Saccharomyces cerevisiae S288C: one gene and its partners. The gene in region 2 interacts genetically with the main gene of each other region. Each region holds a gene or a part of one and is shown on either strand. Other genes may lie near its edges. The genes, in order: SLU7, BUD14 and TAP42.

The links.
Region 1: mutations in BUD14 (region 2) and SLU7 together harm fitness more than expected from each alone (negative genetic interaction), as found in Saccharomyces cerevisiae (2 studies listed by BioGRID).
Region 3: mutations in BUD14 (region 2) and TAP42 together harm fitness more than expected from each alone (negative genetic interaction), as found in Saccharomyces cerevisiae (3 studies listed by BioGRID).

Annotation. Positions count from the first base shown.
Region 1 is NC_001136.10:618,046-628,772, reverse strand, and holds SLU7 (mRNA splicing protein SLU7), read left to right. Parts: upstream 1-9,127; coding exon 9,128-10,276; downstream 10,277-10,727. Other genes in the region: RLI1 (Fe-S cluster-binding ribosome biosynthesis protein), read left to right, coding at 239-2,065; ILT1 (Ilt1p), read left to right, coding at 2,775-3,707; VTC5 (Vtc5p), read right to left, coding at 4,052-6,661; RRP1 (Rrp1p), read left to right, coding at 10,467-10,727. UniProt on the Saccharomyces cerevisiae protein: Essential protein involved in the second catalytic step of pre-mRNA splicing. Involved in the selection of 3'-type splice sites; this selection could be done via a 3'-splice site-binding factor, PRP16.
Region 2 is NC_001133.9:163,244-173,970, reverse strand, and holds BUD14 (protein phosphatase regulator BUD14), read left to right. Parts: upstream 1-5,099; coding exon 5,100-7,229; downstream 7,230-10,727. Other genes in the region: serine/threonine protein kinase CDC15, read left to right, coding at 1-1,760; serine/threonine protein kinase KIN3, read left to right, coding at 2,268-3,575; ADE1 (phosphoribosylaminoimidazolesuccinocarboxamide synthase), read right to left, coding at 3,676-4,596; YAR010C (gag protein), read left to right, coding at 8,105-9,427; YAR009C (truncated gag-pol fusion protein), read left to right, coding at 9,784-10,727. UniProt on the Saccharomyces cerevisiae protein: Important for bud site selection. Seems to be a regulatory subunit of the BUD14-GLC7 type-I phosphatase complex. The BUD14-GLC7 complex is necessary to regulate microtubule dynamics at the cortex and may function as a specific activator of the dynein complex.
Region 3 is NC_001145.3:325,114-335,840, forward strand, and holds TAP42 (Tap42p), read left to right. Parts: upstream 1-2,368; coding exon 2,369-3,469; downstream 3,470-10,727. Other genes in the region: PEX12 (ubiquitin-protein ligase peroxin 12), read right to left, coding at 1-322; YMR027W (putative methyltransferase), read left to right, coding at 764-2,176; FAR8 (Far8p), read right to left, coding at 3,547-5,118; RSF1 (Rsf1p), read left to right, coding at 5,680-6,810; EIS1 (Eis1p), read right to left, coding at 7,099-9,630; formin-binding protein HOF1, read left to right, coding at 10,185-10,727. UniProt on the Saccharomyces cerevisiae protein: Involved in negative regulation of the TOR signaling pathway in response to type of available nitrogen source. Inhibitor of PP2A phosphatase SIT4, which results in inhibition of nuclear export of MSN2, due to lack of dephosphorylation by SIT4.

The DNA of each region.
Region 1 (10,727 bases), on a different chromosome or scaffold from region 2:
TGTTACTCGTGTGCATCGAACCAGATTTCTAGCCGGGTAGTTTTGCAACTGAAAAAATTTTCTATTTTTTTTCTCAATCGCATCGCTCGCTAGCAAAGTGAAAGTGAAAAAAAAAAAATGTAAAACTGGGCATTAACCTTTATTGTTTCTGTATTCTTAGATCTTCATTGTGATCTGTTTCAGCGCGAATTCCACCTAGCCTTCTGCAAAAGTTCTTAAGAAAACACGACAGACCATAATGAGTGATAAAAACAGTCGTATCGCTATCGTTAGCGCTGATAAATGTAAACCAAAAAAGTGTCGTCAAGAGTGTAAACGTTCGTGTCCCGTTGTGAAAACTGGTAAATTATGTATTGAAGTCACTCCAACTTCAAAAATCGCATTCATTTCCGAAATCTTGTGTATTGGTTGTGGTATTTGCGTTAAGAAATGTCCATTTGATGCTATTCAAATTATCAATTTGCCAACTAATTTAGAAGCCCATGTAACTCACCGTTACTCTGCCAATAGTTTCAAACTGCACAGATTGCCAACACCAAGACCGGGTCAAGTCCTTGGTTTAGTCGGTACCAACGGTATTGGTAAGTCTACCGCCTTGAAAATCTTAGCCGGTAAACAAAAACCTAATTTAGGTCGTTTTGATGATCCTCCTGAATGGCAGGAAATTATTAAATATTTCCGTGGTTCTGAATTACAAAATTACTTCACCAAGATGCTGGAAGATGATATCAAGGCTATAATCAAACCTCAATATGTTGATAACATTCCTCGTGCTATTAAAGGTCCGGTTCAAAAAGTTGGCGAACTTTTGAAATTGAGAATGGAAAAAAGTCCTGAAGATGTGAAACGCTACATCAAAATTTTACAGTTGGAAAACGTTTTGAAAAGAGATATTGAAAAGTTATCTGGTGGTGAACTGCAAAGATTTGCCATTGGTATGTCATGTGTTCAAGAGGCTGATGTTTATATGTTCGATGAACCTTCATCTTATTTGGATGTTAAGCAACGTTTGAATGCCGCTCAAATTATTAGATCTTTACTAGCTCCAACTAAATACGTTATTTGTGTTGAGCACGATTTGTCAGTTTTGGATTATCTTTCCGATTTCGTTTGTATCATATATGGTGTTCCATCTGTTTACGGTGTTGTTACATTACCAGCCTCTGTCAGAGAAGGTATCAACATATTCTTGGACGGTCATATTCCTGCTGAAAACCTGAGATTCAGAACTGAAGCTTTACAATTTAGAATAGCTGATGCTACCGAAGACTTGCAGAATGACTCTGCTAGTCGCGCCTTCTCTTACCCAAGTTTGAAGAAAACTCAAGGTGATTTTGTTTTGAATGTTGAAGAAGGTGAATTCTCCGATTCCGAAATCCTTGTTATGATGGGTGAAAACGGTACCGGTAAGACCACTTTGATCAAATTACTAGCTGGTGCTTTGAAGCCAGATGAAGGACAAGATATTCCAAAATTGAATGTTTCTATGAAACCACAAAAAATTGCACCAAAGTTCCCAGGTACTGTCAGACAATTGTTTTTCAAGAAAATTAGAGGACAATTCCTAAATCCACAGTTTCAGACTGATGTCGTTAAACCTTTAAGGATTGACGATATTATTGATCAAGAAGTCCAACATTTGTCTGGTGGTGAATTACAAAGAGTCGCCATCGTCTTGGCATTGGGTATCCCAGCAGACATATACTTGATTGATGAGCCATCTGCCTACTTAGATTCCGAACAACGTATTATCTGTTCTAAAGTTATCAGAAGATTCATCTTACATAATAAGAAAACTGCGTTTATTGTCGAGCACGATTTCATCATGGCTACTTATCTTGCTGATAAGGTCATTGTTTTTGAAGGTATTCCTTCCAAGAATGCTCACGCAAGAGCCCCTGAATCTTTGTTGACTGGTTGTAACAGATTTTTGAAGAATTTGAATGTCACCTTCAGAAGGGATCCAAACTCCTTCAGACCAAGAATTAATAAGCTAGATTCCCAAATGGATAAAGAACAAAAATCATCAGGAAACTACTTTTTCTTGGATAACACCGGTATTTAAGCATCTTGGGATTCGGAGAACCAAGAGGACGATTGTTTTATTTTTGGGTTTAGAAATGTGGAGAAATAATTAAGAGTTATAATGTTTTTGCAAAACAAAATGAGTATTATATTACATTGAGTTCCTTCCCAAGCATCGGGTTGTTTATTTCTAGATATACGCCAACTAATACATTTCTAACTTCCCACCTTCATTACATCATAACCTGAAAGTGAACAACCTCCTCTTCGGTGATCCGTACTCCAGTTTATTTCATTTTTCTGTAAAGCAACTACACTATATTTATTCTCTATTTATTTTATATACCTATTGTATTTTAATTAATCGTTATTTTGTCCGCACCTTCTTCGTAATCGAATTTACCTTGTAAACGAGTCGTCATGATAAGCATTTGCTGCATTACTGAACGTTTATCTTAGCATGACATTAAAGTCCGTTTGTCTAAAATATCACCCAATTATTTCCGCGGTGTGAGCGCCAGATAAGGTGCTTCGGGTAATATGAGAACGCCGTTTCTTGATAGCATTTTTCAATGACTAGATAGGTAGATTACCTCTGTATCACACTTCTCGTACCAAACGAAACTCATATAAATAATGCTTTCCTTCTGGTGCCTTCTACTTTCCGCTGATCTCTATTTTCAAATTAACCGCTGAAATATAAACTGTGGAATACTATAACATAACATAGATTTAAGAATAAGGTATTCATGATCTCTGAAAAGGCTGCTACCGCTTTAGCTACTATAGCAACAGTTTGCTGGTGTGTCCAGCTAATTCCGCAAATAATATATAATTGGAAAAAAAAGGACTGTACGGGGCTGCCACCACTGATGATGTTCCTCTGGGTTGTTTCCGGAATTCCATTTGCCATATATTTCTGTGTTAGTAAAGGTAATGTCATTTTACAAGTTCAACCACACCTTTTTATGTTCTTCTGTTCTATAAGTTTCGTCCAATCGTGTTATTATCCACCAATCAGTATGGCGAGATCCAAAATAGTAATGATTGTAGCTGCTATTATTGCGGCTGATGTTGGCATGGAAGTTGGCTTTATATTATGGCTGAGGCCCCTTTACGAGAAGGGTGTTAAATGGCCCGATCTGATTTTTGGTATTTCTGCATCTGTTTTGTTAGCTGTCGGACTGCTTCCACCTTACTTTGAACTAGCCAAAAGGAAAGGTCGTGTTATTGGCATCAACTTTGCCTTCTTATTCATCGATTCATTAGGTGCTTGGCTATCTATCATCAGTGTTATCCTAGGTAATATGGATATTATGGGTATTATATTATACTCAATAGTTGCTGGAATGGAGTTAGGAATTTTCGCGTCTCATTTCATATGGTGGTGTAGGTTTAGATTCCTAGCTAAAGGCAATACTTTTGACGAAGAAAGTGGCCAAGCTCAAAAGGAAGAACCCGATGAAAAAATCGAACAAGATATTAGCAAGAGTGACCGAAATGTTACTAACTATAACCTGGATAACTGTTCAATCCCCGACGATGCTTCGAGCTTTGCAGACGATTTTAATATATACGATAGTACTGATGGGGGGACGTTATCAAGAGCCCAAACATTGCATGCTGTCCATGGAGTTGTGGTTAGAACAGATCCTGATCGTTATTCGAGGCTAAGTGTGTAACGAATCTGAGTCCTTTTTAGTTAGCACGTTTTCATCTCTTTTTGATAGCACGCTTAATAATATTCACCACTAGCGCAGTAATATGGCATCTGCCGCAGGTGTAAAGGTTTTCACTTCGCTTATATTCACAATACTATGCGTTCAAACACGGCCATCAGAAAAGATCAAAATAAGGATTATTAATTAAAAACTTAAACAGAAATTCAGTTTGCAACACCCTTCGCAATGGCGAAGTTTCCAAAAACAAAATCTCCAAACAAGATTAACATTCTTCTTATGTAACCACATGATATGCATATTTTATATAGACTGTACACATGAAAAACTTTTATCGTCCAAAATAATTAAAAGAAAATTTCAATCATACCATAGCACACTGTTCCAGTAACTGAGAAAAACATTGTGAAGCAACCAACATAATGCCAGATTGGCGCCAAAGTGAACCGACTAAATAACAACAACAGGCACGCACAGATCAAAATAAGGGAAACCAGTAAGGAAATGATAATAATGGCTATGAGAATATTTTGAATTTCTAAATCTATCTCATTATTACTTTGCCCGCGAAACAAGGATAAAACGATTCCCAGACATACACTTGCCATAATGCAAGATGTTAGCAGTGCAGACAAGTATAAAAATGTAACAACTTCGTCATGCCTATATTCGTAGATAGATTGTGAGTCCTCTATGTCTTGCTGTTGATACTGTAAGTACCTTTGAACGTCATCATATGACGCTGAAGTTGATTGTGAACCAAATGACGCAACAGAACCATAGTTAGTTGATGAACAATGCGGATGCTTAGAGTTTTGAAACAAATCTGGCGATGTTTTCTTGTCATGGCGAATCAAGTTTCGTAACTTCTCACAAAAATCATATGTGCGGTTGATGAAATTCCGGCTAAACAAAATAAACCCATAATCAGGCGGAGAATTTCTCAAAAGTAAGGATTCTTCGTTATCTGTTGTACTCCTGCTTCCATTAGTATCAATGTAAAAAGCATTGTCTAAATTATCCTCTTCTTGTTCATCAAATTCATTCCAATACCTAATAGGTTTCTTTTTAGTTTCATTATCCGATTGCTTTGATTTTTTGTGAATTCGAACTCTTCTGCCGCTGTCAACACTACCTTGTGAGTTGTTTATCGGCCCAGTCAGGTCAAACTCTTCCTCTAGACGATCCTTGCCCAGCTGGAAAAATTCATCAGGTGATAGCGAATCATCGGAATTTAATTTATATTGATCTCTTAGTAAAAGTTGAAATAAATCATTTTGCAATTCATTTGAGTGTACTAATTCTAAACATATTTTCCATGTGGTTAAGTCTGGTGGTATTAAGCTGCATTGAAACTCATTTGTAACAACTGATTTCATTAACTGTTTAAACTTATTGTCTTCATTAATAGCCGTCTGTGAAAGACCACTGGATCGACTAAGCTTTTTAATTTCTAAAATTGGAAAGGGTAATGTAGATACATTTCCAATAGTGATAGATTCATCCAAAGCTATCAAGTATATATCTCCATTGTCTGCTGATATGAATCTTGTTCTTTTAAAATCTAGCTTTGGTTCAATGGTTTTTAATCGATGGGACTGAATCCACTCCAAAGCGATCTTACTGATTGGCGATGGATCCAGTGAGTTTATGAGAGCGCTAATATTTTTTGTGTCGTTGCCACTCCTCATGGCCGAAAGAATATTCTTTACATCCCTTAGAAGCAGATCATTTGTGACAACATGATTTCTTAAGCCGCCCACGTGGCACATTACTATACAAGTATCCTCAGCAGTAGAGCTGACTATCATGTTTGGGTGCTGATTTATATTATCATCAGTAAGTAGTAAAGGACTGCCTTCGTTCCCGACAGTATCTAGTATACTAATAGAAACGTACTTCTCATTGGATTGTACAGCAGAGGGTAATATGTTCTTCTGTTTAGATAGGGATAAGGTATGTTGTAAGTCATTGAATGACTTTGCTGATCTTATAGATTTGTTGCCCGCAGAATTAATATTATCTGTAGTGTCTAAAATCTCCTTTGAAGTGGATATGATGCTATCGTCAATTATCCTAAAACCAATATTCAATAGCATGAACTTCAGTCCCTCTATGTCCTCGGACGATAATAAAAACCTTCCTAGATTCTCTGCTTTATCTATGAGGGCAGTATCGAATTCTAGCGAAGAATCAATCATTTTTGAAGTTTTCTTGTTTGAAAGTAGCGGAATTGACCTTGGAGATGCTGGCAAGGAAGAATTGTTGGCTTCTGGACTTGAACTTGTATGGGCAGATTCATCGGAGCGGTTTAGGGATCTTTGCTCCACTGCTGGCTCAGTTGCATCTTCAAGTTTATTTTCCAAATCATGTAAAACATCAACAATTAGCGAAACTTCTAAAAGATATGGATCTAAATCAAGCTTCATAAATGATATGCCTTCGTGTCCATTTCGTAAACTTTCAGAGTTTCTGATCGACGTAACATACTCACTTGCAGTCAATGGATTTTCACTGTCTTGAGGAAATTCATTTAGTAATTTTTTGAATAACTTTCTCAAGGCAATCCTTTGTATTATCAAAAACCTTGACAGTAGTTGTAGTTCAAAGTTACAATCGTCTACATGAGCGTTGATGATTTTCAGTTTACGAAGGTTGAAACGGTTTCTGGAAGTTTTGTTTAAGCCCTTTGAAAAATCGATTATTGATGATTCCACAGAAAGAATACGAGTGGAAATTTCCTTTATTTTCAAAGAAACAAATAAATTAACATTTTGAAATTCCTGGTCAAAGGCTACTGAACATTGATTCAACAACTTCTCCATGCCCGAATCATTTGGATTGTCATAATCATAAGCCGTTACTTTTTTTATGGCTACTTTTAACTTCTCATAGTTAATATTGTAGAATTTCCATTCAGGGATTGATTTATTCAATATGCGATCTTCAAATTTCATGATTGTACAACCCTTCGTATCTATCCTTACCTAGGGCTGAGATGGAGATATACAAAAAAAAAGCAAAGGTAAAAAGCAAGTATTAAACTCTATCTCTATTATATTCAAGAGGGCAACGGACGAACTATTAATTTATGAATTTTAAAAGTCCTTTGATAGCGTTCACGATAGGGCTTTTTGATCTTGCCTTTGTTTATCTTTTTATCTGTTTTGTTTTTTTTTTTTTTTTTTTCTTGGTTCAGTTTTGACTCTTCCACACACCCATTTCGCTAGCGTAGAACAAGGGGAGACACAAACTTTCTTTTCCTTGCAAGTTAATAACACAACACCCGTCCTCCTGCACTGAATTTACACAGAAGTTAAGAACCGCCTCTGCTTTTCTGGTATTATTTTGCAGCCTTGCCTAAAAAAAGTGTGGTAATTTTTGAGAATAATATATTACTGTGTTTTTCGAAACGAAAGTTCTGAATATTGGCTTGGTCGCTTCCTGATATCTGGAAACTTGTTTAATGTTTTTAATTATCAGTCTTCAAAGCGTCCTGATATGACTTGCCACGTTTCCATCCATTCTATATGTAGTTTAAATACAATGAGATAAAGGGTGCCTGCATGGAACTTTCCATTCGAAAAAAGAGATCATAAACCTTATCTGTCAAATAAAAGCCAATCTATTTGATTAGGTAAAAAAAGTGATGTCAGACCAAAGTGCCCCTCTCCTGCAATGATCATCGATTACGTACGGGTGTAATGATCACGACAGTAAAGTGAGCAAGGTAACTACTATCCCTAAGTGCGGCGTCATTGTAAGTCTACGACGTAGCATATTCAGTTTACTGTACAAGAAAAGTTTTCTCTCTGTAACAAGAGGAAATTGGTTAGCTTTCTACGCTTACTTCGTTTGGTACGATCAGTAAAGGTGAATAAATTAAGATCCACGCCTTCATATGGCAGGATCCACGATATTCCTTGCAATACCCCTGGATAATTCAAAAACCAAATGTTACACGGTATACTTGAAAATCGATACCATATTAGGAACACACCGGCCAAAGGTTGATAATACTTGGTATGAGATAAAACCCGAGCTCAAGGTTTAATGTTAAAATTTTTTGTATATATATATATATAGTAATGGGCTCGGTTGCAAATTTTTATGACTATCTTGAAACTAGTTGAAATTGCAAGAACCGTCACTCTATGGAGTACATGAACAACTAAAAAATAGCTTGAAGATACTTGCCACTCCATGCCATTTCTAGAAAGGGGTCTCTTGAGAAATGTGTGTTAAAATAACGGTTATATAGTTGGAAAGAATATTACTATTTTGCGATTAAGGGATGCCGTATGGCAGGCAAGGAAGTATTTGATCAAGAATACCGATTAATGAAGCATGTTTGCCATTATCGTTGAACCTTGGTATTTCTCAGGTTTCCTTATCGATACGATAGGAATGAGAATCAACTAACATTTATCGACTACAATTCATTATTACTACTATATTATCAAATGCTCTGCAAGGAGATGACCAAAAAGAAATGAGAAACAGTCTTCATCTCAAAATATAGGCAATTACCAGGTATACGATATTTCCTCAAAATGAAAATGCCTAAAATACGACAGAAAAACTTAGGGTGACGACTTTTTAACTAATCACTGAATGCAGCCGAAGCAAGTAATTATTTCCCTCGTTGCTACTCATTGAGGCCGCTCCATATGGAGATTTGAAAAAGGTTCTATTGATTCTTTAACTGGTGTCCATCCCCATGAGAACGTTTTAGTTAATTAACTGCTGGTAAAATAAGCGATAGTTGGTATTTTCAAAGGAATATGAGAAATGCGGGAATACTAGTTAGTAGACTATATTAAAACTTTGTTTCAACAGAATAATATATAGATACAACAGGGCAGTTGTGAAGATTGGCAAATAAATCTTTAAAATAACTTCTTTGTCCGGGCTAAGCAGGATACCACACTTTAAATGATGATTACCACCCCACAAGAGAAGTCGGTCTGAATTTATTAATTCTGGTATCAGCAAATCCCGTATTTCAATAACTTCAAGAAATCTTGTTCCTCGTGGCCCAATGGTCACGGCGTCTGGCTACGAACCAGAAGATTCCAGGTTCAAGTCCTGGCGGGGAAGATTTTTTATACATTTTTCTAGACTTTTGATTTTTATACCTAGTGACAATTAAAATATAGAAAAGAGTTGGTAACCTCAGCTGCCGTACTCTTCAATTTAATTGGAGAAGTTGTCGAGTTTTTTTAAAGTACATTTCATTGGAACAACTAGTGACTAGTTCGAACGCGGAAAGACAATAATAGTACCCATAACGATAACTCCTTCGTTATCTATTGAATAGCTTGCCTTTCAAGTAAATCAATAATCAAGTCTGCGTATATCATTTATCGAGCACTTCTGAAAAAGATACCAGTTACACTGAAATACAACGATCGGATTACATAATGAATAATAACAGCAGAAACAACGAAAATCGAAGCACTATTAACAGAAATAAAAGGCAACTACAACAAGCAAAAGAAAAAAATGAAAATATTCATATCCCCAGGTATATTAGAAATCAACCATGGTACTATAAGGATACCCCCAAAGAACAAGAAGGGAAGAAGCCCGGCAATGATGATACGAGCACTGCAGAAGGAGGAGAAAAAAGCGACTACTTGGTGCATCATAGGCAAAAAGCAAAAGGGGGTGCTTTAGATATTGACAATAATTCAGAACCAAAAATTGGTATGGGTATAAAGGATGAGTTCAAACTAATCAGACCCCAGAAGATGTCCGTCCGAGATTCTCATTCGCTGTCATTTTGTAGGAATTGTGGGGAAGCAGGGCATAAGGAGAAAGACTGCATGGAAAAACCTCGTAAGATGCAGAAGCTTGTTCCCGATTTAAATTCACAAAAAAATAATGGCACAGTTTTAGTACGAGCTACTGATGATGACTGGGACTCCAGAAAAGATAGATGGTACGGTTACTCAGGGAAAGAATACAATGAACTGATAAGTAAGTGGGAGCGTGATAAAAGAAATAAAATAAAAGGAAAAGACAAATCCCAAACTGATGAAACACTATGGGATACAGATGAAGAGATAGAACTAATGAAGTTAGAACTTTACAAGGATTCCGTAGGTTCATTGAAGAAAGATGATGCTGATAATTCTCAGTTGTATAGGACATCAACGAGATTGAGAGAAGATAAGGCTGCTTACTTGAACGACATAAATTCAACGGAGAGTAATTATGATCCTAAATCAAGATTGTACAAAACTGAAACACTGGGCGCAGTTGATGAAAAATCAAAAATGTTCCGCAGACATTTGACAGGTGAAGGCCTAAAATTAAACGAATTGAACCAGTTTGCTAGATCTCACGCTAAGGAAATGGGTATACGTGATGAAATTGAGGATAAGGAAAAAGTACAACATGTTTTAGTCGCCAATCCTACTAAATATGAATATCTGAAGAAAAAACGGGAACAAGAAGAAACCAAGCAGCCCAAGATTGTCAGCATTGGAGATCTGGAAGCTAGGAAAGTAGATGGTACAAAGCAATCTGAGGAACAACGGAACCACTTAAAAGATTTATATGGTTAAGTTATATCATTTGAATTTCCAATATCCTAGTCACGGAGCACGAGAGGTAAAGAATTTAGAAAAAAAAATGCGATGAGCTGAAAAAAATTGTCAAATATAAACTACATTCTTAAGTATACGTATATATCTTGCGCATTCACGGCATAATACACTAAATAGACACTTAAAAAATCGAGTGAGAACATTCACAATGGAGACCTCCAACTTTGTTAAACAATTATCGTCGAACAACAGAAAAACCAGGGTAAATGCACTCGAAGCGTTAAAGAAATATCTAACCGCTAAACAGTTCAAGGAGAACAAACAAATAGAATTCAATAAACTTTGGAAGGGTCTTTACTATGCAATGTGGTTCAGTGACCGTCCTAGACCTCAGCAACGTTTAGCCAATGAATTAGGTGAATTGCATGGATTATATTTTGATCCTAAGGACAATAGCACTGCAGATGAG
Region 2 (10,727 bases):
TTTTTGTTTACGATACCCAGCATAACCACTCTAGGTTGCGACTGAAATTCATCGCTATGGGAGGAATTCCACTGATCATTAAATTCGAACATTTAGCCAAAGAGTTCGTCATCGACTACCCTCAGACTTTAATTGAATGTGGAATAATGTATCCTCCGAATTTTGCATCGCTGAAAACCCCAAAGTATATTTTAGAACTCGTCTATAGGTTCTACGATTTAACATCCACAGCCTTCTGGTGTCGCTGGTGTTTCAAACACCTCGATATATCACTCCTTCTGAATAACATCCATGAAAGAAGAGCCCAATCCATACTACTAAAGCTATCGTCATATGCACCATGGTCTTTTGAGAAAATTTTGCCCTCTTTAATTGACTCTAAGCTAAAAAAGAAAATTTTAATCAGTCCTCAAATTACTTACGTAGTCTTCAAATCAATAAACTATATGATAACCACGAATGACGATAAAATACACAAGTCCGCTATTCCTTCTTCTTCCTCTCTACCGTTATCCTCCTCACCCACGAGGAACTCACCAGTGAATTCGGTACAGTCTCCATCAAGGTCCCCTGTTCATTCTTTGATGGCAACGCGTCCCTCTTCTCCAATGCGACACAAGAGCATTTCAAACTTTCCCCATCTGACCATATCTTCAAAATCAAGACTACTAATTGAATTACCGGAGGGTTTCTTTACCTGGCTAACATCTTTTTTTGTTGACATGGCCCAAATCAAAGATTTATCTGTTTTAAAGTACTTCACCAAGCTTTGTTACCTTACAGTACATATAAACAGCACTTTTTTAAATGATCTGCTTGACAACGATGCTTTTTTTGCTTTTATCCGGAATATTGATACCATCATTCCCTTTATCGACGACGCAAAGACAGCAGCTTTCATTTGGAAACAAATCACTGCTATATGCGTTGAAATGAGTTTGGATATGGACCAAATGAGTGCTTCTTTATTTTCTACAGCTATGAATTTCATCAGAAAAAAGAATAACACCTCCATAAGTGGACTGGAGATCATACTGAACTGCTTGCATTTTACGTTACGCAATGTAAATGATGATGTGGCTCCTACAGTGGGCTCATCAGAGTCTCATAGTGTTTTCCTCATAAAGGTCAACAATGACGCTGCTATTGAATTACCGATTGATCAATTAGTTGACCTGTTTTATGCATTGAATGACGATGACGTTAACCTCAGTAAACTAATTAGCATTTTCACGAAGATATGCTCATTGCCCGGTTTTGAAAACCTTACAATTAATATCATATTTCACCCGAACTTTTATGAAAAGATTGTTTCTTTCTTTGATACCTATTTCAACAGTTTACTTATTCAAATCGATCTATTGAAATTCATAAAGCTAATATTCTCAAAATCGTTATTGAAGCTATATGACTACACAGGACAGCCGGATCCTATAAAGCAAACCGAACCAAATCGTCGTAATAAGGCCACTGTTTTCAAACTTCGTGCCATTTTAGTACAAATAACGGAGTTTTTAAACAACAACTGGAACAAGGATGTCCCAAAAAGGAATTCAAATCAAGTTGGGGGGGACTCAGTTTTGATCTGTCAGCTATGTGAGGATATCCGTTCATTATCAAAAAAAGGAAGCCTGCAAAAAGTTTCAAGCGTCACTGCAGCAATTGGTAGTTCTCCAACAAAAGATGAGCGTAGTAATTTGCGATCCTCCAAAGATAAAAGTGACGGCTTTTCCGTCCCCATTACAACATTTCAAACATAATGTAGGAATTGCATGTGCATACATACATATATAGAGAAATAATACAGCATTACATTAACACTATATATAGAATTGTGAACCTTCCAATACTGAAAACGCATCTGTTTGGAAAAGAGATCAGAAAAGTTTTTGAATTTAAAGAGGCCAGTAATGATAAAAAAGCATATACATATATATGCTTTTTTTCTTTTCTTTTTTTTTTCAATTGGGGATTAAATGTATGAACGACTCAAAGTGCATTTTGTTAAATGTTTCTAGCTATAGATCAATAAATCTGAAATACGATATCTGACATGATTGCAGTGGCACAGTCTTCCGATAGGTTACAGCCAAGTTTTTTTTTTAAGGTTTCTGAATTTTTTCATTACGTTTCCTAATTAGGTTAAACGTAAATAAAAGCGACTTTTCAAAAGAATATCAAATCATATAACATGAAAAGAGCAAGATTCACAATACTAATTTCAATGAGAGTGCTATTTGATAATTGAATCAATTCTCTGTGTGAGTATGCATAGACGACAGTTTTTCCAAGAATACCGTAGTCCTCAGCAGCAGCAGGGACACCCACCAAGGTCAGAATACCAAGTTCTCGAAGAAATTGGGAGAGGTTCATTTGGGTCTGTACGAAAAGTCATCCATATACCTACCAAGAAACTTTTGGTTAGAAAGGATATCAAATATGGCCATATGAATAGCAAAGAGAGACAACAGCTGATCGCTGAATGTAGCATTCTATCGCAGTTGAAGCATGAAAATATTGTAGAATTTTATAACTGGGACTTCGATGAACAAAAAGAAGTGTTATACCTTTATATGGAATATTGTTCCAGGGGTGATTTATCCCAGATGATTAAGCACTACAAACAGGAGCATAAATATATACCAGAAAAAATTGTGTGGGGTATCCTGGCCCAATTATTGACTGCGCTCTATAAATGTCATTATGGTGTTGAATTGCCAACTTTGACCACAATATATGACCGGATGAAACCACCGGTAAAAGGCAAAAACATCGTTATCCATCGTGATCTGAAACCAGGAAATATATTCTTAAGCTATGATGATAGCGATTACAATATTAATGAACAAGTAGACGGTCACGAGGAAGTGAATAGTAATTATTACAGAGACCATAGAGTGAATTCAGGGAAAAGGGGGAGCCCTATGGACTATAGTCAAGTTGTGGTAAAGTTAGGTGATTTTGGGTTAGCCAAATCTCTGGAAACTAGTATTCAATTTGCCACAACATACGTCGGTACACCATATTACATGTCGCCTGAAGTGTTGATGGACCAACCATACTCCCCACTATCCGACATCTGGTCACTAGGTTGTGTTATTTTTGAGATGTGTTCGTTGCACCCCCCATTTCAGGCAAAAAATTATCTCGAGCTACAAACTAAGATTAAAAACGGGAAATGTGACACCGTCCCTGAGTATTACTCTAGAGGGCTTAATGCCATAATACATTCAATGATAGATGTGAACTTAAGAACCAGGCCTTCCACTTTTGAATTACTGCAAGATATTCAGATACGAACTGCAAGAAAGTCGTTGCAATTAGAGAGATTTGAAAGGAAGTTACTGGACTATGAAAATGAGCTGACAAACATTGAAAAAATCCTCGAGAAGCAAGCTATTGAATACGAAAGAGAACTGAGTCAGTTGAAGGAACAATTTACCCAGGCAGTGGAGGAGCGAGCCAGGGAAGTAATTAGCGGTAAGAAAGTTGGTAAGGTTCCAGAATCTATAAACGGATATTATGGTAAAAAATTTGCCAAACCTGCATACCACTGGCAAACAAGATATCGATAAAATTTGCTCTGAGAACATTTATACATTAATACATACGGGTATGTATGAATCATATTCAGTGAGGAGTTACACTGGCGACTTGTAGTATATGTAAATCACGTTAGTGAGACCATTTAGACCCTGTCAATGTTTCATAAGCCTCTATATATTTGGCCCTTGTCCTGTCGACAATGTCTTGGGGCATTTTGACGCCGTTAACACCGTTCAACTTATTAGCAGTAAGCCAGTCTCTTAAAAATTGCTTATCGTAAGAATCTTGGGATTCTCCTACCTTATAAGAGGCACCGTTCCAGAATCTAGAGGAGTCTGGCGTTAGCACCTCGTCCACTAGAATAATTTCATTGGTCTTTTCGTCAATACCGAATTCGAATTTAGTGTCTGCGATGATGATGCCCTTCTCCTTAGCATAATCTTTGCACTTGGAGTACAGTTTTACAGCCAGTTCTGCCACTCTACGTGACAAATCTTCACCCACCAGCTCAGCGGCCTGGGCAGGAGAGATGTTTTCGTCATGTTCACCTTGTTCAGCCTTGGTCGATGGGGTGAAGATTGGTTCTGGGAACTCTTGAGATTCTTTAAGTCCTTGAGGTTGTTTCAAACCATGCACAGTACCTGTTTTTACGTACTCTTTCCAAGCAGATCCGGTGATGTAGCCTCTGACAATTACTTCCAATGGAATTAGTTTATGTTTGTGAACCAATAGAGAGCGGTCTTCTAGTTGCGTTTTGTACTTTGGTTCGCTCAATTTTGCAGGTAGATAATCGAAAATAGTCTTACCTGGGGCGATGTCGACCAAATGATTACGAACATCGTTGGACAGGAACTTGAACCAGAACTCTGACAGTTTGGTCAATAGGATCCCCTTTTCAGGAATGCTGTTTTCCATAATAACGTCATATGCAGAGATACGATCCGTAGCAACAAACAGCAACGTACCAGCGTCTACCTCATATATGTCTCTAACTTTACCTCTGGCCACCAATGGCAATATACCGTCCAGTTCAGTCTTCGTAATTGACATTATCGTTAATATTTCGTATGTGTATTCTTTGTAAGCAATGCTTATGATTCGATTGTTCTTAATAGTACCAACTGCAAAAGATAAAACCCAACCGTCTTACCTCAAAGAATCTGGGTAAGAATATATAGAATGTATATATATATATATGTATGTCTATATGTATTAGATGGCATCTTCGAGATTAGTATTATTACATCCTCATCTCTCGCAAGAGTCAGACTGACTCGTGAATAAGCTTCGGGTGACCCTTATGGCATTCTTTTTCAACCTTCAGGAAAAGTTTCAGATGAGTTGAAATTTCGAGTATGGCTACATGGATCAAGTGCTGTAAACAAAGAAGCTTCTACAGGGGTACGCTGGTTGTGTTTTCTGCTTTGCTATCGTGTAGAACTGGATCCATTCTTTCCTGGCTGTGGTAGTACTTAAGGAGTTGGACGTGTTCAAGTCGAGAAAGAGGTGAAATACACGTAGTTTTTAGATAACATTCTCTGCTTGGTAAGAGAATGAGTAATAAGGAAGAGCATGTTGATGAGACTTCCGCAAGTGGTGTCAAGGAGGTTAGTTCTATAGCTGCTAGACATGACAATGGTTACGCGCCTTCGCTAATCACGTCGACGTCGGGCATGGACTCCTTTCAATCGCACGCGCTACTGAATGATCCAACCCTAATAGAGGATTATTCAGATATCATTAATAATAGGCCTACAAGTGGAAGTAAACTTACTTTAGGAAACGAGGATTCGGAGAGTATGGGCGGAAGTGTTGTGGTGACTCCGACTTCGAATAAGAGTTCGCCCTTCAATTCGAAACTTAATATACTGAGTAATGCGGCAGAAAAGGGCCATGATGTTCTGCGAAATAGAGATGATGACAAAGAGTTAGAGGAGGAGAACGTGGAAAAACATATGCATAGCAACAGTAAAAGGGATCAGCGACATTACAAAGAAAATTCTTCGGAATTGCCCGACTCATATGATTATTCGGATTCTGAATTTGAGGACAATTTGGAAAGAAGGCTACAAGAGATCGAAACTGATTCCGTGGATAGCGCCGATAAGGATGAGGTGCATTTTTCAGTGAATAATACAATGAACCCTGACGTTGACGATTTTAGTGATGGCTTGAAATACGCCATCTCGGAGGACGAGGATGAAGAGGAAAACTACTCTGATGACGATGACTTTGACAGAAAATTTCAAGATTCAGGGTTTCAAGGGGAGAAAGACGATTTGGAGGAGGAAAACGACGATTACCAACCCTTATCGCCGCCAAGAGAACTGGACCCTGATAAACTATATGCTTTATATGCGTTCAATGGCCATGATTCTTCACATTGTCAATTAGGGCAAGACGAACCTTGTATACTTTTGAATGACCAGGATGCCTATTGGTGGCTGGTTAAGAGGATCACTGATGGTAAAATCGGGTTTGCGCCAGCGGAAATTCTAGAAACCTTTCCAGAAAGACTAGCTCGATTGAATTGCTGGAAAAATGAAAACATGTCTTCTCAATCGGTTGCTTCCTCCGATTCGAAAGATGATTCCATCAGCTCTGGTAACAAGAATCAAAGTGATGCAGAGAGTATAATTCCGACACCTGCACTGAATGGATATGGTAAGGGGAACAAATCTGTTAGTTTCAATGATGTTGTCGGTTATGCAGACAGGTTTATAGATGATGCAATTGAAGATACCTCGTTAGATAGTAACGATGATGGCGGTGAAGGCAATGGACAGTCGTACGACGATGATGTTGATAACGACAAGGAAACAAAAGTAACGCACCGGGACGAATACACTGAAGCGAAGTTAAATTTTGGCAAATTCCAGGATGATGATACGAGCGATGTAGTGAGCGACGTCTCCTTTAGTACATCTTTGAATACACCACTAAATGTGAAAAAAGTTCGGAGACAAGACAACAAAAACGAAAGTGAGCCTAAGACATCATCGAGTAAAGACAGAGAAGATGATTATAATGCAAATCGGTATGTGGGGCAAGAAAAGTCTGAACCGGTTGACAGTGATTACGATACCGATCTGAAAAAAGTATTTGAAGCGCCTCGTATGCCATTTGCGAATGGTATGGCAAAATCAGACTCTCAAAATTCCCTTTCAACAATTGGCGAGTTTTCACCGTCGTCGTCAGAATGGACAAACGAATCACCATCCACTCCAATAGTTGAAGAAAGCAGCAGTATTCCATCATCTAGAGCAATAAAGGACATTTCACAATATATTCATGCAAAATCGAAAATTGAAGAGACAACAAACGTGGAAAACACAGAGGGGCAAATTCAAGCCAGCTTGGGGTCTAGTGGAGGAATGGCAAATCAAACTGACGCAGAACAACCTAAAGAGGAGCTAGAAAAACATCACAGTACCCCCGAAGAAGAAAAGCAATCAACCTTATCGTTACACTCATCATCTGAAGAAGATTTTTATATGGATGAACAAAGGGCGGTATCATCAGCAAGCATAAATAGTTCACTTTCCGGATCAAGGGCATTGTCTAATACCAATATGTCCGATCCGGCTTCGAAGCCCAATTCTTTGGTTCAACATCTCTATGCTCCAGTTTTTGACAGAATGGATGTGTTGATGAAACAATTGGATGAAATTATTCGTAAATGATATTGTCCTTACAATAAAGCCTGGTCTTTTTCTCATCCAACGAACTTGCATCATATTCATGAATATTTATTTGTTTTAGAAACATTTCGGAAAAAATAAGGTAGTAACAGTTCAGCATATATGATAGCTAAAACAAACAACTATATATCGTATCTACAAAGTTTATCTTACTTCTTCTATTTTTTAACTTTGCTTCAGATTATGATAATGAAAAGGAGGAATAAAATTCTGTCATTATTCAGCATCCTCCAATGTGTCATAGGGATATAACTGGGGTTGAGGAGGTAGTAGTCGACAACTACTTAGTCGTGATACAACAGTATGGATAGGTACTTTCCACGAACATTACTGATGACAGTCAGCTATTCACGAATTCAATTGTGTTGGATTAACAAAAAAATTTGGACGCAACCGGAATCGAACCGATGACCTCTTCCTTGCAAGGGAAGCGCGCTACCAACTGCGCCATGTGCCCAACTCATTACAATACTAGACTTATGAAGGAATGGTAAGTGCTTAGAAGCTTTATGATGTAGTAGAGATTTAAGGCCATCAATTACATTGTTGAAAATAAGAACCTGTTGGAATAGAAATCAACTATCATCTACTAACTAGTATTTACATTACTAGTATATTATCATATACGGTGTTAGAAGATGACGCAAATGATGAGAAATAGTCATCTAAATTAGTGGAAGCTGAAACGCAAGGATTGATAATGTAATAGGATCAATGAATATAAACATATAAAACGGAATGAGGAATAATCGTAATATTAGTATGTAGAAATATAGATTCCATTTTGAGGATTCCTATATCCTCGAGGAGAACTTCTAGTATATTCTGTATACCTAATATTATAGCCTTTATCAACAATGGAATCCCAACAATTATCTCAACATTCACCCATTTCTCATGGTAGCGCCTGTGCTTCGGTTACTTCTAAGGAAGTCCACACAAATCAAGATCCGTTAGACGTTTCAGCTTCCAAAACAGAAGAATGTGAGAAGGCTTCCACTAAGGCTAACTCTCAACAGACAACAACACCTGCTTCATCAGCTGTTCCAGAGAACCCCCATCATGCCTCTCCTCAAACTGCTCAGTCACATTCACCACAGAATGGGCCGTACCCACAGCAGTGCATGATGACCCAAAACCAAGCCAATCCATCTGGTTGGTCATTTTACGGACACCCATCTATGATTCCGTATACACCTTATCAAATGTCGCCTATGTACTTTCCACCTGGGCCACAATCACAGTTTCCGCAGTATCCATCATCAGTTGGAACGCCTCTGAGCACTCCATCACCTGAGTCAGGTAATACATTTACTGATTCATCCTCAGCGGACTCTGATATGACATCCACTAAAAAATATGTCAGACCACCACCAATGTTAACCTCACCTAATGACTTTCCAAATTGGGTTAAAACATACATCAAATTTTTACAAAACTCGAATCTCGGTGGTATTATTCCGACAGTAAACGGAAAACCCGTACGTCAGATCACTGATGATGAACTCACCTTCTTGTATAACACTTTTCAAATATTTGCTCCCTCTCAATTCCTACCTACCTGGGTCAAAGACATCCTATCCGTTGATTATACGGATATCATGAAAATTCTTTCCAAAAGTATTGAAAAAATGCAATCTGATACCCAAGAGGCAAACGACATTGTGACCCTGGCAAATTTGCAATATAATGGCAGTACACCTGCAGATGCATTTGAAACAAAAGTCACAAACATTATCGACAGACTGAACAATAATGGCATTCATATCAATAACAAGGTCGCATGCCAATTAATTATGAGAGGTCTATCTGGCGAATATAAATTTTTACGCTACACACGTCATCGACATCTAAATATGACAGTCGCTGAACTGTTCTTAGATATCCATGCTATTTATGAAGAACAACAGGGATCGAGAAACAGTAAACCTAATTACAGGAGAAATCCGAGTGATGAGAAGAATGATTCTCGCAGCTATACGAATACAACCAAACCCAAAGTTATAGCTCGGAATCCTCAAAAAACAAATAATTCGAAATCGAAAACAGCCAGGGCTCACAATGTATCCACATCTAATAACTCTCCCAGCACGGACAACGATTCCATCAGTAAATCAACTACTGAACCGATTCAATTGAACAATAAGCACGACCTTCATCTTAGGCCAGAAACTTACTGAATCTACAGTAAATCATACTAATCATTCTGATGATGAACTCCCTGGACACCTCCTTCTCGATTCAGGAGCATCACGAACCCTTATAAGATCTGCTCATCACATACACTCAGCATCATCTAATCCTGACATAAACGTAGTTGATGCTCAAAAAAGAAATATACCAATTAACGCTATTGGTGACCTACAATTTCACTTCCAGGACAACACCAAAACATCAATAAAGGTATTGCACACTCCTAACATAGCCTATGACTTACTCAGTTTGAATGAATTGGCTGCAGTAGATATCACAGCATGCTTTACCAAAAACGTCTTAGAACGGTCTGACGGCACTGTACTTGCACCTATCGTAAAATATGGAGACTTTTACTGGGTATCTAAAAAGTACTTGCTTCCATCAAATATCTCCGTACCCACCATCAATAATGTCCATACAAGTGAAAGTACACGCAAATATCCTTATCCTTTCATTCATCGAATGCTTGCGCATGCCAATGCACAGACAAATTCGATACTCACTTAAAAATAACACCATCACGTATTTTAACGAATCAGATGTCGACTGGTCTAGTGCTATTGACTATCAATGTCCTGATTGTTTAATCGGCAAAAGCACCAAACACAGACATATCAAAGGTTCACGACTAAAATACCAAAATTCATACGAACCCTTTCAATACCTACATACTGACATATTTGGTCCAGTTCACAACCTACCAAAAAGTGCACCATCCTATTTCATCTCATTTACTGATGAGACAACAAAATTGCGTTGGGTTTATCCATTACACGACCGTCGCGAGGACTCTATCCTCGATGTTTTTACTACGATACTAGCTTTTATTAAAAACCAGTTTCAGGCCAGTGTCTTGGTTATACAAATGGACCGTGGTTCTGAGTATACTAACAGAACTCTCCATAAATTCCTTGAAAAAAATGGTATAACTCCATGCTATACAACCACAGCGGATTCCCGAGCACATGGAGTCGCTGAACGGCTAAACCGTACCTTATTAGATGACTGCCGTACTCAACTGCAATGTAGTGGTTTACCGAACCATTTATGGTTCTCTGCAATCGAATTTTCTACTATTGTGAGAAATTCACTAGCTTCACCTAAAAGCAAAAAATCTGCAAGACAACATGCTGGCTTGGCAGGACTTGATATCAGTACTTTGTTACCTTTCGGTCAACCTGTTATCGTCAATGATCACAACCCTAACTCCAAAATACATCCTCGTGGCATCCCAGGCTACGCTCTACATCCGTCTCGAAACTCTTATGGATATATCATCTATCT
Region 3 (10,727 bases), on a different chromosome or scaffold from region 2:
ATAGTTGCAATCCATAAAACCGATCAATAAACGTAGAATTGTATGTCTTTAGATGATACCATTCAACAAACCCTTTTATCGCTTGAAACCACTCAAAAAAGTACTTGTTCAGCCGCAAAGTATACCTGTTAGGGAAGTTCGCCACTAAATGATTTGCCAGTAGATAACGGATGGATGCGGGCAGTAACGAATCGATTTCTTGTGATGACATTATCTCAAAGATAGTCGGATACAATGGTTCTAATCCCACCCCATTTCGACCGCTTGTTGAAGACCCTCGACTAGATTGTCCTGCAGACGGTAGGTTTGAATAAAAGCTCATCACTTGACGACTACCTTCCTTTCCTTTGCTTTATTTTCCCTGCTTATTCCCTTGCTTCTTCTGGAGCCTTCATGCAAAACCGTTTCTCTACCTAATGTGATTCTGCGGTAAGCATTGCTCTTAAGCATCTGAATGAGACGAAAGGATGACTCCACACTAAATTGTACCTCTCTTCTCCAGTGACTGAATTGGAGGTTACCATTGCCAGTGACGGTAATCGTCCACATCGATGATTTCTTAGTATAACCCACACACCTCTCAGACATAGAGGCCCCAGGTGCAACGTGATAGTATAACTGCCCGGAAGTAGAAATACAACTATTCCCTTCATATTAAAAGAATAAAACTTCATTTGAACTCTTTAAAATTTAGTGGTTCATTGTGGTCCTTGTGTAAACGGAAAAAAAGGATATTACGGTAGTGGGTAGTACATAACAAGAGATGACTATCCCTGGAAGATTTATGACAATTGATAAGGGCACTTTTGGTGAATACACTGCTAGCACCCGTTGGCCCATTATCATTCAGAATGCTATAGACGATTTAAGTAAGCATCAAGAAACGGAGAAGAGTAACGGCACTAAGTTCGAACAAGGTGAAGTTATCAAAAAGGAGCTCAAGGAATTCCGTCAGGAGATAATTGATCGTGTACCTTTGAGACCCTTTACTGAAGAAGAGATCAAAATTGCCAACGTCCCGCTTTCGTTCAATGAATATCTAAAGAAACACCCTGAAGTCAATTGGGGGGCTGTAGAGTGGCTGTTCTCGGAGGTTTACTTGTATAGAAGAGTAAATGTTCTTTTCCAACGCCAATGCGAATGGGCTAAATTTGACATATTCAACAGACTTAAACAGTCAACTTTTGAGTCCTCGTTTTATGGTGTCGTGGAATTGGCGTTAAGGTATGAAAATCTGTTACCACAGCTGAGAGAAATGAAGCAAAATCCAGGAAATGAGATTGACGATATATTGAAAGTTCTTTTTAAAGAGTTTATTGAGATTTCTTTGTGGGGCAATGCCACTGATTTATCTTTATTGACCAACGCTACGTTAGAAGACATTAAATCAATCCAAGGGGCGAAAGCAAGAGCTGCATCCGAGTCCAAGATTGTTGTTAATGACACGGAGAAAGCATGGGAGGTATTAACCAAAGCCAGGGCCGATGCCAATAGCAGAGAAATTCGTGTTGATTTTGTATTAGACAATTCTGGCTTTGAATTGTATGCTGACTTGATGTTGGCAGCTTTTCTGTTACAAAGTGGTTTGGCTACCAAATGTATTTTCCACGCTAAAGACATTCCATACATGGTTAGCGATGTTATGTTAAAAGATTTTGATATATTAGTTCATGACCTGAGAGATCGTGAGTTCTTCCCAAGTGGTGAACCCTCGACAAAGGAATCCAGAGCTCTTGATTTATTTGCTGGTGAAATGGAAAAGTTCGTCTCTAGCGGTAAGATAGAATTCCGCGAAGATTCTTTCTGGACCACGGAATTAGATTATTGGAATTTGGACGCAAACGAAACCAAATACCATGGATCCATTTTGCACAAAGATTTGCAAAAATCCAATTTGGTTATTTTTAAGGGTGATCTAAACTATAGAAAATTAACTGGCGACAGAAAATGGCCCCGCACCACTAAATGGGAAACGGCTATCGGACCTCTTGCTACGAATGGTATTACATCATTGAGCTTGAGAACCTGTAAAGCCGATGTACAAGTTGCTTTACCTGAAGGTCTAGACGCGAAATTAAGTCAAGAATGGGAAAAGGAAAATCCTGGCCGTGGTTCTTGGTGGTGTTGTAGCGGTAAATGGGCAGTCATTTGTTTCTGCTCTGGTATACATAAATAAGAATATGATAAGTTCTCTATATAACTTTACTTTATGACTTTCCCTATGAAATGTTCCAAAAAAGCACATAGATTTTTAGTACGTGCCTTTTATTTTATGTACTTCTGATAAAAAAAAGAAAGCTCCTAAGGACAAATTACAATCAATGGCGAAAGAAGAGGAAGAAAGTAATAACGAGGAGAGATCATAAACATGGCGTCAGTAACAGAACAATTCAACGATATTATTAGCTTATACTCAACAAAATTGGAACACACATCTTTGAGGCAAGATTCACCAGAGTACCAGGGATTATTACTTTCCACGATCAAGAAATTATTAAACTTAAAAACAGCAATTTTTGACAGGTTGGCATTGTTCAGTACTAATGAGACCATTGATGATGTGTCTACTGCTTCCATCAAATTTCTAGCAGTTGATTACTATTTAGGATTATTGATATCAAGACGACAGTCGAATGATTCGGATGTTGCTCAAAGGCAGTCTATGAAATTGATTTACCTGAAAAAAAGCGTTGAATCTTTCATTAATTTCCTGACACTATTGCAGGATTATAAGCTTCTAGATCCTTTGGTTGGTGAAAAACTAGGTAACTTCAAGGATCGTTATAACCCTCAGCTTAGCGAATTGTACGCGCAACCAAAAAATAACAAAGATTTATCTGGAGCACAGTTGAAGAGAAAAGAAAAGATTGAGCTATTCCAGCGCAATAAAGAAATTAGCACAAAACTGCACTGCTTGGAGTTGGAATTAAAAAACAACGACGAGGACCACGACCATGATGAATTACTAAGAGAACTATATTTGATGAGGTTACATCACTTTAGTCTTGATACGATTAACAACATTGAACAGAATTTATTTGAATGTGAAATGCTCTCTAATTTCCTCAAAAATTCCGTACATGAAGTCAAATCATCAGGTACTCAGATACGAAAAGAATCGAATGATGATGATTCCACTGGTTTTACCGATAAATTAGAGAATATAAATAAGCCATTGATAGACAAAAAAGGTCAAGTCTTGAGGAACTTCACGCTTGTCGACAAAAGGCAACAACTGCAACAAAAAGTGCGAGGATATGGTCAATATGGACCAACAATGTCGGTGGAGGAATTTTTAGATAAAGAGTTTGAAGAAGGTCGCGTTCTTCAAGGTGGCGAAGAACCAGAGCAAGCACCAGATGAAGAAAACATGGACTGGCAAGATAGAGAAACCTATAAAGCTCGTGAGTGGGACGAGTTCAAGGAAAGTCATGCTAAGGGAAGCGGAAATACCATGAATAGAGGATAGAAAAAAATACCTATATACGTACACATAAGTATCTATTAGACAGATTCATATATTATTTTTTTTTCTGCCTACATCAGTTATATTTTAATCTTGTGCAAAAGGACTTCGTTATTTTTATTCACGGTGATTAACACCGGCGTAGAATCTACAATCAGATTTGAAGAAAATACCACAGGCTCTTTTCTTTCCGAGAAGTTGATGTCTGCTACGACAAATTCGTCGATGGATGGTTTTAGGTTTTCTAAATTCCTAAACTCAAAGTCTCCATTACTATATGATACGGTGATTATGCTGTCGTTCAAATCGAGTTGTATTGGTAGTGTTGACGATGGAGTCAATTGTTCCTTCAGTACAACTTTTTTCTTATCAAAAGAATAAACCAATAATCTCTCATTGCTTAGCTGAATCAGTAGCTTAGAAGTTTTTCTATCCAAAAATAAATGGTAACCTTCTTCTTCTGGCTTACCCGATAATATTGTATCAATCTTCAAATCAATTTTTTGTAGAAGCTTACCCTCGAAATCATATATGGTAAGCTGGTATGGATTTGAAGACAGTAATATTAAGGATTTTTCTGTTATACCCAATATACAATCCAGAATGTTTGTGGAATCATTACTATCATCGTCATCATTATCATGTGTTATTTCATATGTTTCTTTTATGTTAATTGGGACATCCTCAGGAGCCTCTATATTGTCCAATTCCCAGATTCTAATTTGAGATTTATTCTTACTAGCTATCAACAACCATTTATTTTTGAAGTCTATATTAATGATATCACTAGACGAAAACGGCTGTTCTGAGTCTTGTAATAGGTCCACATCTGAGATCAAAGATGCGCTAGAAATAGAGAACAATTTCAAATGGAAACTCTTTTCAATAACAAGGAGTTTGGACGTCGAAACCCAGAAAAATTTCATAATGTCGCTATCTTGCCCTAAAGATATTTTCTTTAAGAGTTTGGAATTCAAGTTTGCGTCCACTTGGTGTATTTCTAACGATTTGGTGTCTGCATCATAAAGTGCCATACAGTCCCCGTAGGAGCTGATAATGTCGACTTTCGACAATTCCGAGTGTATCTTGGATATTGTTTCATTATTTTCACGCTTGTTGGCTGTGCTAAACAAAGATTTCACTTTGGTTGGTGATGGTGACTCTGAAGGACCTTGCTTTGGATTGGGTTTGGTGTCCAAGAGGGCATTATTTAAAATATCCATCCCATTTGTCTTCGCACTGCCCTCTTCCTTGGGAGTATTCACGTTCAGTTTCTCTAAATCGTGCAATTCAGAACCCGCTTCTCTGCTATTTAATGACTCTAACTGATTGACCGTGTTAGGGCCTTTCAACAAATAAATTATTTCCTTCACATTTTCTTGAACAGCTAGCTTAGACTGCAGTAATGAATCAGGCACATGTTTTTCTTCCTTTTCACCTTCAGGAGAAACAGCTTTCGATTGTATTTGATTCAATTGATGCTTCAAATCTCTATTTTCGCCCTCTAGTTCTGCAATTCTTGCTTTCATTTCCGACCTTTCTAGCTCCCAGGTGATTCTATCTCTTTCATTCTTCGTGAACTCCGTTTGCAAGTAGTGCATTACACCAGGTAACGTGTAATGCGGATGAACATGTGCCTGGTTAATAGCCATATTGTTTTCCGGTCTAACTACACGCACTTACTTCTTTTGGGTTTCTTTATTAATGTTGTTGCTTGCTCCTCACATTTAGTCGTTCTAGGTGGCTTTTATCTAAGATTACGCGACGGGGAAGATCGCAAAGTTAAGACCAATAGAGTACTATACCATATCCCAACAAAGAAGCCTAGGGGATGGTGCAGCAGTAAAAACTGAATAGACTATAATAGATCATCCTACGTAAAACCCGAATAGGTTATCTCTTAAACCTTGTTTTCCTGTAAAGTTGTCCCGCGCATGTGAAGACGCAGAGAGTGGAGATCAATCTTAAAACAACTGAAGCAACTAGCACTTTCTTGACATTTAATAAGGAACTATTATCGCGTAAACCAAAAGAAACGCATGTAAAACATCTGCAAGTTACTCCATCATCTGACACCTAGAGACGTACGTATCAGAACGATTTGAGTGGAGGGGTACAAAAAGGGACTCTGTAGATCAAAAACTGTAATATTATCCTTTTTTTTACTTTCTGAGAAGCTATTCGAAAACAAGGAGATAGAACTACAAGCAGTTATGAAGGACCTAAATCCAGAAATGGGGAAATTTGCTACCACTAAAGGCCCTCCTCAAGACAATAGAGGCATGGTTGATATAGCGACACTGCCTAATTTTCCTGCCAACCGTAGTGGGACTCCTCGTGAGGAGATGTATCTGGCGCCCAACAAGATGGAAACTCCAAGGATACTTAATATGAATATGGTACCGGATTATTTGCAAAAAGAGAACTTCTCGCCAGATTTTTCTTCTGCTACCGTATCTGCCAAGTCATCTCCTGTCAACGTTACTCATGATGAGTCGCTTCCTCTGGGAACTATTGAATCGAATAGCACAAAGGATTCTAAATATGCAGTTCAACGGCAACAGCAACAAGTGGTAGATTTCATAGAGAATAATATGCAGCTACTGTCTTCAGAAACACTAAATTTTAGATCAGACATTATGAAAACTTTGGAGCTTCCCATTCCCAAGAGAAGAGATATTAAGGGAAACCATCTATCTAAACTATTATTTGCTAAATCACCTCTAACTATCAACACATATTGCCAATTTTATGACCGTAGAACCAAGCGAATTTGCAATCAAGAAATGATATGGAAAGATAAGAACAGTAGAGAGAAGCATGGTTCTAGAAAGTATCAAAGACATTTGAGTAAAGTTCACGATGTCCAGCTAACACCAAATAATTTTACCGAATTTTTTGATCATAATTCTCCACTTTTCCAGGAATGCTATGACTATCAATCTAGATTGATGCGTGATTTACTTGTTGAACCAGATGCCAAATTCAAAGAGAAGAAAAAGAAGAAAAAAGGGGACGTCAACGGAAATCATCCTGAAACCGGATCGAGCCTCATCAACCACCAGGTCCAACAGCAAAATGTTCGAGAACTTCAATCGAAAATAGCCATGAACGACTTGATAGAGATTCTTATCGATTTAAACATTCCGTTTTCTGTTTTAGACTACCAACCAATGAGAAATTGGCTCATCAAATATTCAATAATTTCAACAGATACTTTGCCGGATGAAGTATACTTCAAAACTGATCCAGGCGTGAATGAACTGGAACACAACAGTAGTAATTTAAACAATAGCAATAGCGGTACTCCTCATAATCATAATCAAAACCAACATACCAATTAATTAAAACTTGCTTTTAATCTGCATACATAAAACTTAGATCAAATAAATAAAAAAAAAAGTAAAACAACCATATATACTATTTCATAAGCAAAAGTAATCAAATTAAACAAAAAAAAGAAAATACAAATATTAAATTTAAATTAAGGCAATAAACATATATTATACACATAAAAAGAATAATTAAAGCGCAGATGAGAACTATCTTAATTATCAAAATTCTGTAGTATCCCACTCAACTGTTCAATATCTTAGCCGCACCATTTCTTCGTTATCTAGGCTCACTAGCAATTATTTTTTCTCTTGATTACTAATTGCATCCTGATCGTCTTCGATCGAAGAACCCTGTGAAAAGCCACTAAATGTATGTTCCAAACTATCAGGGCTAACTCCCAATGATTTATTGTTTCCTGCTTTCTGTGAAACCGAGATTTCTTTTGAATGCTCCGCTGATTTACAATCATTAGCGTCTTCTTTTCCACTTGATTTATTTCCGATCGAAATTTTTTCTTCAGGTTCCTTTGTTTGAACAGCAGAACTAGTTTCGGTAGCTTCTTTTGCGGCAGTACTCACCGGAACCCCATCACCACCTGAATTTTTCGTTTCGGCTCCCACTATCTCTTCCTTCTTTAGTTCATCACCTTCCTCTATTTTTTCAAGTTGGGTTGGTAAATCTTCAACATTTTTCTCGACGGATTTGTTTTGTGTTAAATACTCCTCAGAAGTCATACCAATCAATTTTTTAACCTTCTCTTCGTCAATCTTATCATCGCCACGTGCAGAAGCAACATCTTTCATAGCTTCCAACAAATTTAGTTTTTCCTTCTTTAACTCGATTTCGGTCGCGTTCAACTCGCTCTTACGTTCGTTAATCAACGAATCCACTTCCAATTGCTTCAGACGGGCCTCCTTGGTTGATAACTCAGCCTGCTCTTTAGCCTTATTAGCAAGAATAATAACGTCATCATTCAAATGGGATTCCAAGCTTTCTTTAGTTTGACCTAGTTCCAGTAATTTGTCATCCTCTCTGATATTTCTATTCTTCTGGGCGTCAAGATCATTTCCGTAACCAGAGATCTTTCTTTTATGGTCAACTATAGCATCCTGCAATCTTGAGATTTCTGCGTTAATTTCATCGCGCTCTTCCACTAAAGTTTTGTGTTCCGCTTCTGCATTTGCCAGATCGTCATGGTAAGGTTTCAATAGTTCTTCTTGCTCTTTGCGCGCTTCAGTGATATCTTGTTCACATTTCTTACCCCATTCCTCCAAATCTTGATCTAGACGAGCTTTTTCGTCCTTTAACTCTTGCTGCATTTGCTTTTTAAATTCGATCTCTTTGCTCTTGGTATCTTCAAGCAGAGTTTCCCTTTCAGCGACTTTGGTATCCATTCTGGCCACAAGTGCATCAAAGCTGGCTTTAATCTTTTCCTGGGAGGTCTTTTTTTCGGTTTGATGCCTATTAGCCGTAGTAGTCAATACTTTGGCGTCATTAGAAATGATAGAACGTTCCATCGTTTCCCATTCATTTGATGATTTATTATAGGCCTCAGTTCTTTCTGCAATTTCTTCATCCATAGCACGTTGCGCCTCCGCCCTCTCACTCACTTCACCAAGTACAGGAGAAATCAATCCGGATGCGATTTTAGTGATATCTTCTGGTGACAAAAACAGGCCACCACCCATGTTAATCTTGTTATGGAATTCTGTCTTTTTCTGATGATTAGACTGTGCGACAGCGACAGCAGCTTTGTTGTATTCCATATTAGTGAATAGCTTTCTATGCATATCGCTTTTTTCAATGATATCCAATTGTCTGTCAACATTGGCTCTTGCCAAAGTCAAAACTTGCTGAGAAGTTAATTGGCTCAGATAGGTTTCCCTCTTCTGCGCCTTAAGAGCTATACTTTTGTCGATATCCTCACCAGGATGCATGTCTTTCACAGCATTAGCAGCTCCTAATGCAAATTTCATCGACTTGGCTTCTTTCTCAGCAGAAACTTTTTTGACCTTTTGTAAATCTTGTGCTTTTGGAGCATCAACTTTCGCCATAATGTTATTCATCATCTCATTGGAGAAACTGAATTGATTTAAATTACCATGCTCATCAGTCTTGACGCCGTATTGGAAGTTCGTCTTTTCCGGTTCCCATCTTTCCTTAATACGAGATTCTGCCTTTTTTTCAGCACCCACTAAGACTTTCTCCAAATTCAAAGTCTTTGGTTTAGGATTAACAGTACTGTTGAAACTGCCACTCGCGCCGCTTAACACAGAGCTGGCAGAGGTGATAGAATATGACCTGCTGTTTGTTTGAGAGCTTAAACTTGTAGTTTCCATTGTCATCGAATAAGCTTTCGATGCGGCGGCCCCTGGAGATTCTTTGGACTTTCTCTTCGTCTGAGATTCTTTTGAAGTTTTAGAAGTAGCAGAAGTTATTGAGTTGTTACGTACAACTTTGGGTCCCATTTTGGATGCAGCTTTAGTGGCATTAGGGTCAATAAACATACGTTTGTAAGCTTCTACCGTGGTTTGATTGTCATGAGCTAAATTAGCTGCCTTGTCGGAAGCTGCATGAGCGTCGCTGACGCCAATTGAGTAACTTTGGGCAGGTGACTGGTAAACCCCGTACTTCAACTTCGCCTTATATAAAGCCTCCCTGCTTAATGGTTCGCCTGTTGTCTGGTATACCTTTGGTTTTCTCAAAGATTTAGAGCCGTGTTTCAGCGACTTTTTCGACGAAGTTATAGACGAAGTCCTGCTCCCTCCACCAGAAGTCTTTCCTATATTATGTATGTCTCTATCTTCTACAGCTGAAATTAAAGACATTGGTTATTTTGCGTTGGTTCCCTATATGCAAAGCTATTTAACAACTAAAGACTGTGTAATCGTCAGAGTGCACTATTTTGCTTCTTTTCAAAGTAGCTGCCAAAGAGCTGAACCTTTAGGATCCACTGAATTAATAAACATTGGTGATATACTGCAAGCAACAAGGAGTTCTCCCCATCGAGTGGCAGTAGTTCTTCCCCCTCTCGAGGGTGCCCCTTTCGGTAGTTTGCGATTTTCTTCCAGAAGAGCACCGATTGCCCCATCCGGAAAGTACTATTTCCCTTTTGGGTAACAGCGGACCGAAGCGGAAGCGTTCGAGTAGCCGAGGTATATGATTTCCTCTTTGGGCAAGTTGTAAACAATAAATGGTAAAAAGTTATGAAATATATTCAATGGTAAAGGTCCATTTGATAAAGTACACATTCACTGTATGAGGGAAAGAGGAAAGCCAGCTAGAGCATTTTTTTGGAGCAGGCGAGCAAACAATATAAAATACAAAGGCCTCGTGTGAGACTTGGAAAGTGTACTACTAATATTCAGAAAAAGGTGAAAGAATGAGCTACAGTTATGAAGCTTGTTTTTGGGACCCAAACGACAATGGTGTGAACATCCTTCTGGGTCACATTTCTCAGGGAATAAGATCTTGCGACTCAATGATACTTTTCTTTAAGCAGCGTAGTGAGCTTGAGAAGGACTATGCCAGGCGGCTTGGAGCCATCACGGGAAAACTAGACAAAGACATTGGAACAAACATGGATTATGGAAAGTTGAATGAAACATTTAATGTGGTGCTCAGTGTTGAGAAAGCTCGAGCACAATCGCATTCCAAGCAAAGTGAGATTCTTTTCAGACAGATTTACACGGATACTAAGGCATTTGCCGCTAACTTGCAAGCAAGATATACTACATTGAGTGGAAAGATTGAAAGGTTGCGGATGGACAAGTTCAACAAGAAAAAGGGGTGTGAGGTGTTGCAAAAGAAATTACAGGATGCCCAGATTAGATTCAGAGACTTGCAATTGAACGAGAATAATATGATTGGGGCCAAGAGAGTAGAACACAACAAGAGAGAACTATTGAAATGGGAATCGAACTCT